Linked DNA regions of Callithrix jacchus. The protein of the gene in region 2 interacts with the protein of the main gene of each other region in a pairwise test. Links are inferred from orthologs where the notes say so. Each region holds a gene or a part of one and is shown on either strand. Other genes may lie near its edges.

Region 1 (4,597 bases), on a different chromosome or scaffold from region 2:
GTAACAAAGCTCGATAGTCACTAGTAATGAAAAGAGAAGAAACAGAGAAATGCATCTTTATTTCTTTAATCATTTATTTAACAACTAACCAATTTCCTTAATGAAGGCTCATGTTCTCCACAAATATTGTCTGAAAATTAAGTAATAATAAAACAAAAAATAAGAATTGCTCTTACTCGTCCAGATCCATGAAGTCCACAGTTTTTGGTACAATGTCTAGTTCATTTGTTAGCTCGCAATACATTTCCCTGCCCTTAGAAATACTTAAATAGGTAGTACCCCAAAATGAATCTTACTAGATCTGGTTCAAGTATTTTTATCTTTCTAATTAAACTAGTCTGTAGTTACCAGAGGTGGTTTTGTTTGCAGATACTGTTAATATATTAGTCTTTACTTATAAATCTCTCTGCTGCAGAGAAAATGATATAGAAACTGCAAAGAGAGTAAGTAGGAAAAAACTAAACTCAGGCATCTTTTTAGATAAATGCTATTGTCTATCAAGACTTACCAAACGCCACATTAGTCCTTAGGAAATGGATTGTGCAAATATGAAAAATAAATTTTCTTTTAATTTCTCTATGGAGATGTAATGAAAACACAAGTAATCTGTGGTCATGAACAATTAGAACTTGAAAGTTAGTCCCCCTTCTAAGTATAAAGAAAGTATAAAATAAAAATCACCCACAATCCCACCATTCAAAAATCACTACTCAATATTTCAGCACATTTCCTTCCAATCTTTTTTTCTATTTTAAAAATCATAATAGGCCAGGCACGGTGACTCATGCCTGTGATCCCAGCACTTTGGGAGGCTAAAGTAGGCAGATCACTTGAGGTCAGGAGTTTGAGATCATCCTGGCTAACATGGTGAAACCCCTTCTCTACTAAAAATAGAAAAATTAGCCAGGTGTGGTGGTAGCAGGTGCCTGTAATCCCAGCTTGAGTGACTGACTCAGGAGAATCAATTGAACTGGAGAGGTGGAAGTTGAGGTGAGCTAATATTCTGCCACTGCTCTCCAGCCTGGGTGACGGAGAGAGACTCTGTCTCAAAAATAAATCACTTAATTTAATTTAATTTAAAAACATAGTAAATAGGCTATCTTTAAAAACTCAAGGTTTACTTAGACCATTTATTAAAGAAGTTTGTCCCCTCATCCCCAGGAAAAAATTTTCTATTATCCTCCTGACCTGCAATGCATTCATCCCCTTCAAAGGCAACTCATCAACAGAAAAATCAAATGACACTTTAGCCACTCAGCTGCTTTCCTTCATATTTGAAGCATAAATCATTTAATTAAAATTAAAGATTAACAAAGCCTTGGTCATTGGCATGCATCCTCTTAATTCCAAAGATGGCTTAGCTATTCTTAGCTGTCAGTTTTTTACAAAGGTATTTGCAATGAAAGGGTCAACTTTAGACTTCTCTAAACCTCTGCTCTACCTCTCTCTCTCTCTCTCTCTCTCTCTCTCTCTCTCTCTCTCTCTTTCTTTCTCTGTTAATAACCTTCCTGGTGTTAGACTGGTGTTAGATATTTGTTTAATAATCAATAGTGGCTTCTTTTCCTATCATTGAGTATTTCAGAAAGTAGCATAACCAAGTCAATGTTTAACTGGATTCTTTGGGTCTGAAGTGGCAAAGTTGAAGGAAGTCTCCATGGAAACCAGCCTCCCAGGAAGTGGCCAGAAGGGTTAGTGTGCAGTGATATAGAGCTAGAAGGATGCCTGCTAGAAGGAAATGACTGCTTTGTAAAGCCAGGGTAAACTTCTGAAATGCCTTGATTAAAACAAGCTATATTAAAGACCCCAAAACCACTTCAGTCGCAGCTTTCCTCTGAATGTCTTTCACATGAAATGGGCCTGAGTCGCTCTAAGGCTCACCCTAGGGTGATCAAAGTAGCACCTTTGCAAAACAAAGAGGGAGAGACTCCCTCGGCTGGCCCTGTGGACTTTGCATTCAATCAGAATTTGGAAGAAAAGACTTCATATTTGCCGGCAAGACTGCAGGACCAGAATAAAGCTTCGGAAGGGCAGCTGCCACCTTTACAAGAAACCTCGTATGGAAGATATTCTGCAGGTAAACATAAAACCCAGCACGAGATGTGTGCATCTGGATCAAGGAGCATTATTAATAGATTTATCTGACTGTCTCCATGATCTCAAAAAGTTCCGAAATTACTGAAATGTAAAGGAATTTAGGCTATCTTTGAAAACTCAAACAGATCTTTCAATGAAGATTAAATGTCAATTGAAAGTATTCTGGGTACATTAGAGTGGGAGTATAAACTGCACAAAGGGCTTTTCACTGTTCTATATGAGAAGGAAAAATCATTTCCTTTCAGCTCAGTTTGTAATGCTTTCAATGTTTATACCTAGCTTTGCCAGACGATTAAAATTATATAGATACTAATGTGATAAACGATAGCAATCACGTTTCAGTTAGATTCTAAATTTAAATCATTCTCTCCAGTACAGTTTAATGCACCAGGCTTTGTGGTTTTCAAAACAGCACTTTAGGAGTGAAGTCATTCTAACGTGAATTTTGAAACCATCCTAAACAGAATTGATTTATTGCAGTCCAGAGGAGTGGATGAGTCACCCTTTCCCAGCCCCACATTCTTCATGGTCGTCTGCAGAACGAACAGAATTCTTTAACATTATGATTGGAAGCTCTAAGCCTGAAGTGGCTATAAATTATCCTGGGATATTTTATAAGCCATGTAAAATATTTTATGATGGCCACAATGATAATTAAACAGATATTCTCACTTAGAAAGAGAAATATATGTTTATAATATACACATACGTATACATGTATATTGTTTTCCCTTTTCTTCACCTTCTGGATCATTAACGCCAAGAAGTTTCCCTTATTGGAAGCCTTGTTCAGAAAGCCTCACTTTTTCTTTTGGTACCTAGTAAATCTTGCCTGGAATGATTTTTTATGGCTACTGTCTGGAGAACTGATAACCTTTGGTTGGTTCCATATGACCTATTTTTATGTTCTTTATACTCTCCAAGTTCTTAAGCACATGGATGGGAATTTTCCTCTTAAAATTTTTTAATGGTAGATAGATATATAGGTGATTAGACATGATTTTAAAAATGGAGCATGAATGTGTAATAAGAGTATGCAATGCTCCTCTTGAAGAATTCCTTTTTTATTCAAACTCCCTTCCAGAGTTTTAAGATTTTGGTAACAGAGACTCTTTTTAAAAAAAAAAAAAAAGATTTTGGTAACTGAATAAATGGTGAAAGCTGATTCATGTGCTTTAGAGTCCTAACTGGAAAATGTGCTTATGTTTGAAATGACAAAATCACATTAAATATAAATAACCAGGAGATCATGAGGATTCTGATAAGTATTTTCCATATTCTTACCCCAGCTCCATCAAATACCAAATCGTATGACCTTGGGCAAGTTACTTCATCAATTTTTTTCACTTGTAATCAAGGGTAAAAATAAATGCCTGACATAGCCTATGCCATTTGAGGAGAATCTAATTAAATAATGAAATAATATCACTAAGATCATAAAACAAAATAAGTAGTAGGAAGCTTCTGAAAAAAAAATAGCTGAAAATACTTACATTTTTAAATCCAATATGTTTGTTGTTCTTTCTGTCCTGCTCAGTACACTGGCATCTTTTCAAAAGAAAATAAGGACATGGTTTCCATCCCACTAAAAGTTAGAACAAAGTTCCTAAAATGGTCATTCACATGTCTTAAGGATAGAGATGCATAATTACTCAGGGATTTTTTCATTTTAAATGCAAAGTGGGACTGTAAAATAGTCTACGAAACAATCTAGAAATCAGACTGTGCCCAGATTGTTAAAAGGGAAGGACAAGAATTTCATTCATGCAGCGTTGGTCATGGTAGCACTCCCAAGAGCTCAGGATAATCAAGCTGGAAAATAAAATCCATATGGACCTGTTGAGCCTCTCTGTTTCCTAATAGAGGCTTAACTCTGTATTCCCGGCTTGTTTTATCAGGAAAGAATATTGCTATGTTGTATTATAGTAGCAACCTGTGGACATTTCTTTCCTAGTTAAAAGGACTATTTGATTGTGATTACACATAATCCATTTCTTTCTCATCTTTGTGTAATCACCTATCATCTATTTTATCTGAGAAGATTATTTTCATTTTTTAAAGTTACATGTTTTTTCTGATGTCTTATATTTTGGGGAGGAGATTTTATGGAATTAAAACAAGTCAGTAAATGTCTGTTTACCAGACCAAATTCTGTTTGAAAAATACTTGCAGTCAACATATTGGTAATTTTGTAACTCTTTCCCTGCATATGAACCTGAGTAGGAAGTTAAGAGAGCAGAAATTGAATCCTGGGTCTAGACTAAAATAGTGTCATTTGGACTAATGTGGGTTCCCTGCTTTCTGTGTTTCATCTCCACATTCAACCCATGTTAGATATAAATAACTGAAAAGGTACAAAATTGTGTTGACAAACTCTAGTAACCAATGATTGCCTGGTGTAATTGTAAATTATATTTAATGATTTACTCTTTTTTATTCTCCAATCCTTCAAGCTTCCAGAGATGTGTATTTTGACATCCCATTGGAACACAAAGAAACAAGT
Region 2 (3,820 bases):
TTTCACTCTGTCACCCACACTGGAGTGCAGTGGCATGATCATGGCTCACTACAGCCTTGACCTCCCCAGGCCCAAGTGATCCACACACCTCAGCCTCCAGAGTAGCTGGAACTGCAGGCGTGTGTAACCATTCCTGGCTAATTTTTTAATTTTCTGTAGAAATGGGGTATCACTATGTTTCCCAGACTAGTCTCAAACTCCTGGATTCAAGCAATCTTGCCATCTTGACCACCAGAATGCTAGGATTACAGGTATGAGCCACTGCACCTGGCTGAGAAGCATTCTTTAGTCCTATAGTTGTTAGGTCTTGGTCTTTTAGCGGATGTGAACTTGACAAGTGCTTCTCAGGTGTTTTTCTCCACCATTAGATGGGACAGGATGGCTAGAGTAGACTGAATGTGAGTATTTCCCTTCTCCCAGATCAGTTTGGCTCTGGTATACCCCAGAAGGTCAGGCTGTGGTTAAGCAATTTCTCTTGGGGGCAAGACTTGTTAAGAACAGAGTACTCTGGCATGTTTTAAAGTATTTTGTTTTCTCTGCCCCCTGCAAGATGCATAAAGAGATTTTGCTTCAATATTCACTGAATATCTAACCAAGTTCCTGGAGGCAAAACTCACAAAATTGTGGAGGCCCCTCTATCACTGGGTTCTCCTGAGTCTTTTAACTCAGACTTGTCCACACTGAGCCTCCAGTGATTTTTCAGTTATGCTTCAAGTTTTCCTACTCTGGCATTGGTTCCCATGGTGGTTTCCACTTTTGAATCTCTGCTCTAGTAAGCTGTGACTCCCTATCTTTGCCTGTCTCTCTAATCTTTGTGGCAGCAGTTTTCCCTTTTTCCTCACCTCTCTTATAGGTCTAAGACGAGTTAATGACTTTTCAGTGTGTTCAGCTTTTTACTTGTTAGGACAGAGTGGCAACTTCCAAGCTCCTTACATGCACAACTAGAAGCCAGAAGTTTTTTGTTAAATTAAAGAAGTTTGACAGAGGGGTCAAGAGACCTGGGTCTACCCTTTTTTCTTCATCTTTAAAATGATGTGTCTATACAAGATAAGTAGTTTTCTAAACTGCATTCCTAAGAACCCTGAAAATTTCGTGGCATTGCCTCAAGGACTTCCAGGAATGTGAAGCTCCAAGCCTCCACCCACTCCTTGTTCAACCATAGCAGCTCAACTTTTATCTTTAATCTTTTCATGTATATTAGACTTCTATACAATTTTATTTGAAATAGGGTTCTAGTTCCCCCTCTTCAGAAAAAGCTTATAAATCACAGAGATCACCACCTGCTCTCAAGTATTATGACCCTACAATATAAAATCTTGTCAGTTGTTGAAATCTTTTGCTAAGAGTATATGAAGAAGTAGAAGAGAAAAAAAAATATGAGGGCACTGGGAATGAGTAACTGTACCCTACAGTGAGGAAGAAGATTGTTGAAATGATAGATTGAAGTCCTGAGTAAAAAGCTTCACAATTTTGCATTTTCTTAGCTCAATTCTCAGGTACAAATAGTGTCCCTTTTTAGTTAGGTTTTATAGTAAAGATTTGGAACAGTTGGAAAATATTCTTTTCTTTATTTTTAGAATGAAAGAAATGGATCGACTTTTGACTTGCCTGAATAGAGGTAAATAGCTCCATGGTTATATTCAGTCCTTCATCTTGCCTCCATTCTCTATTGAATTCTCCAAGTACACTGAGCACACGGACTTTAACCTTATGTTTGAGTTAAGCTTCATGCTTCTTATTAATGTTTGCTACAGGAGTCTATTTTGGTTTCTTCATTCACAAGCAGAGAAAAAAAAGTGTGTCATCATTAGCATTCATCTCCAAATGTGATTTCAGCTCTGTTTTAATTCCTATTTGTTTTAAGGACATCTCCTTCCCTCCCTCCCTCCCGTCCTCCCGTCCTCCCATTCTTTTTTCCTTCCTTTTGTCCTTCCCCTTCCCTCCCTCCTTTCCTTCTCTCCCTTCCTCCTTTCTCACCCTCTTTGTCCCTCCACCTTTCTTTTCTAGTAGCCACTTGATCCTAATCTAAGAAGTGAACAGGTGAAAAAGGATCAAGACAAATAAAAATACCCTGAACCCTGCTGGTTTTCCATACCCTCTGAATCAAATTCAGATTGTATAGTCTCTTATTTTGAAGCTCTCCACCCAAGTCTGTACCATCTGCCTTATCTACTAATAATTTTTCCCTGTCCACTTTATTCAAGCTAATCTCCTAGCTATATAACATTTCTTTTTCCAACTACATGCCTTCTTACATGGCATCCCTTTTAACAGATCTCCCATTTTTACTGTCCATGTACCTCTTTCCTTATGTCCAAACACACCAAAAAAGTTCATATCTTAGAAATTCTATCCTGCTTATTCCAGTATCTCAATTTTATACCTCAAATGCCTGTCAACAGGGTATTAAACATAGCAAAGTAGTTTAGAAACCAAACCACTTCTTTTCAAAAGAGAAAAACTTTGTTGGATGGCATTCTTATTTCTCAGAAGGACATCGGGTATGTAATAAATGCTTTCTGATAATGATAACATGTTCTGGTTCTGTCCTGAGCTTGCTGGTTCAGTAAATATTATGTCAGTGTATTGATACTCTTCCAATTCTCAGTCCTCTAGTTCAGTCTTTTAAACAATTGTTTCTGTTCTTTATTTCCTCACATGTAAATCATATCTTTCCACCTCAGGTGGTGAATGATTGCACTGATTAAAATTATAAATCTCTCCAAAGACATGTTTGTTCCCAGAGTTTGAATTAACAACTTCTTGGAACTCAGTAATGCTTTTTGTCATTTTAATTACTTTTGGTGTGCACCCACACACATACACACAAAAAAGAACTTTCTAAATTCAAACTCCTGTAAGACTGTTCTTAAAGCAGGATTAAAGAACTTTGCTAGAGTATAAGATAAAACTCTCAGTATCAAATTTTCCTGTTTGATGCAGCCTTTGTGAAACTTTCTCAGCCTAATGGTGAAGAAGCCTTCAGTTTGGAGTCAAGAGCTAATGAAGCTCAGTGGTTTCGAAAAATGGGTAAGAGGAAATTCTTTGGCTATGGGAAACATTGTGGGGGGGTGGAATCAGACAGATGTGATTTCAAAATCTGGATCTTTCATTTGTAACTGTGGGTACAGTGATAACTTGCTTAATCTGTTTCATTACTTTATAAAATGGAAATAATTATATATACTTCATATAGTTATTAAGGGTTTTAAATGAAACAGCATATGTACTTGGTATCATAGTAGATTCTCAATGGACATTAGTTGTCTTCCTTTTCTATAGGAATGAGTCTAAGATTACACTAATGAATAAACTATAACTACAGGTCCCCAAGGTTGTACTCCTGAACTTGGTTTGAAATACTTAATTTATTTCTAAATGTGATTGACCAAAAATAAACTATATACAACAATGTGGATGAATCACATAATGTTGAGCAAAAGAAGCCAGACATTGAAGAATACATATTGCATTGTTCATTTTATTTATAATTTTAAAAACAGGCAAAACTAATATATGGTGTTAGAAGTCAGGATAGTGGTTATCCTAGAAAAGGAGTTGGACTTGTAAGTTGTAGGAGCTTCAGGGTTTCTGGTAATGTTCAAGATCTTTCTTGATCTGGGTGCCAGATGCGTGAATATTTCCACTTTGTGAAAATTCAGTAAGCTGTACAATTATGAGTTGTGTAATATACTTTATAATGGCTCTATTTCAATAAAAGTGATTTTAAAACTTGTGGAGGCGGCCAGGCACAGTGGTTCACACCTGTGATCCCAGCACTTTGGGAGGCCGAGGCTGGCATATCATGAGGTCAGGAGTT

Evidence for each region.
Region 1: the proteins of TEX11 (region 2) and CCDC198 interact in binary tests that used the Homo sapiens proteins (3 or more experiments, as listed by UniProt). The two-hybrid records come from large-scale screens. The link is inferred for Callithrix jacchus from reciprocal best matches to the Homo sapiens genes TEX11 and CCDC198.

What each region holds. Positions count from the first base shown.
Region 1 is NC_133509.1:92,135,105-92,139,701, reverse strand, and holds the start of CCDC198 (factor associated with metabolism and energy), read left to right. Parts: upstream 1-1,712; 5' UTR 1,713-1,851; coding exon 1,852-2,074; intron 2,075-4,547; coding exon 4,548-4,597. UniProt on the Homo sapiens protein: May be involved in tuning the metabolism, energy expenditure, and excretion processes.
Region 2 is NC_133524.1:67,901,056-67,904,875, reverse strand, and holds part of TEX11 (testis-expressed protein 11), read left to right. Parts: intron 1-1,577; coding exon 1,578-1,618; intron 1,619-2,943; coding exon 2,944-3,030; intron 3,031-3,820. UniProt on the Homo sapiens protein: Regulator of crossing-over during meiosis. Involved in initiation and/or maintenance of chromosome synapsis and formation of crossovers.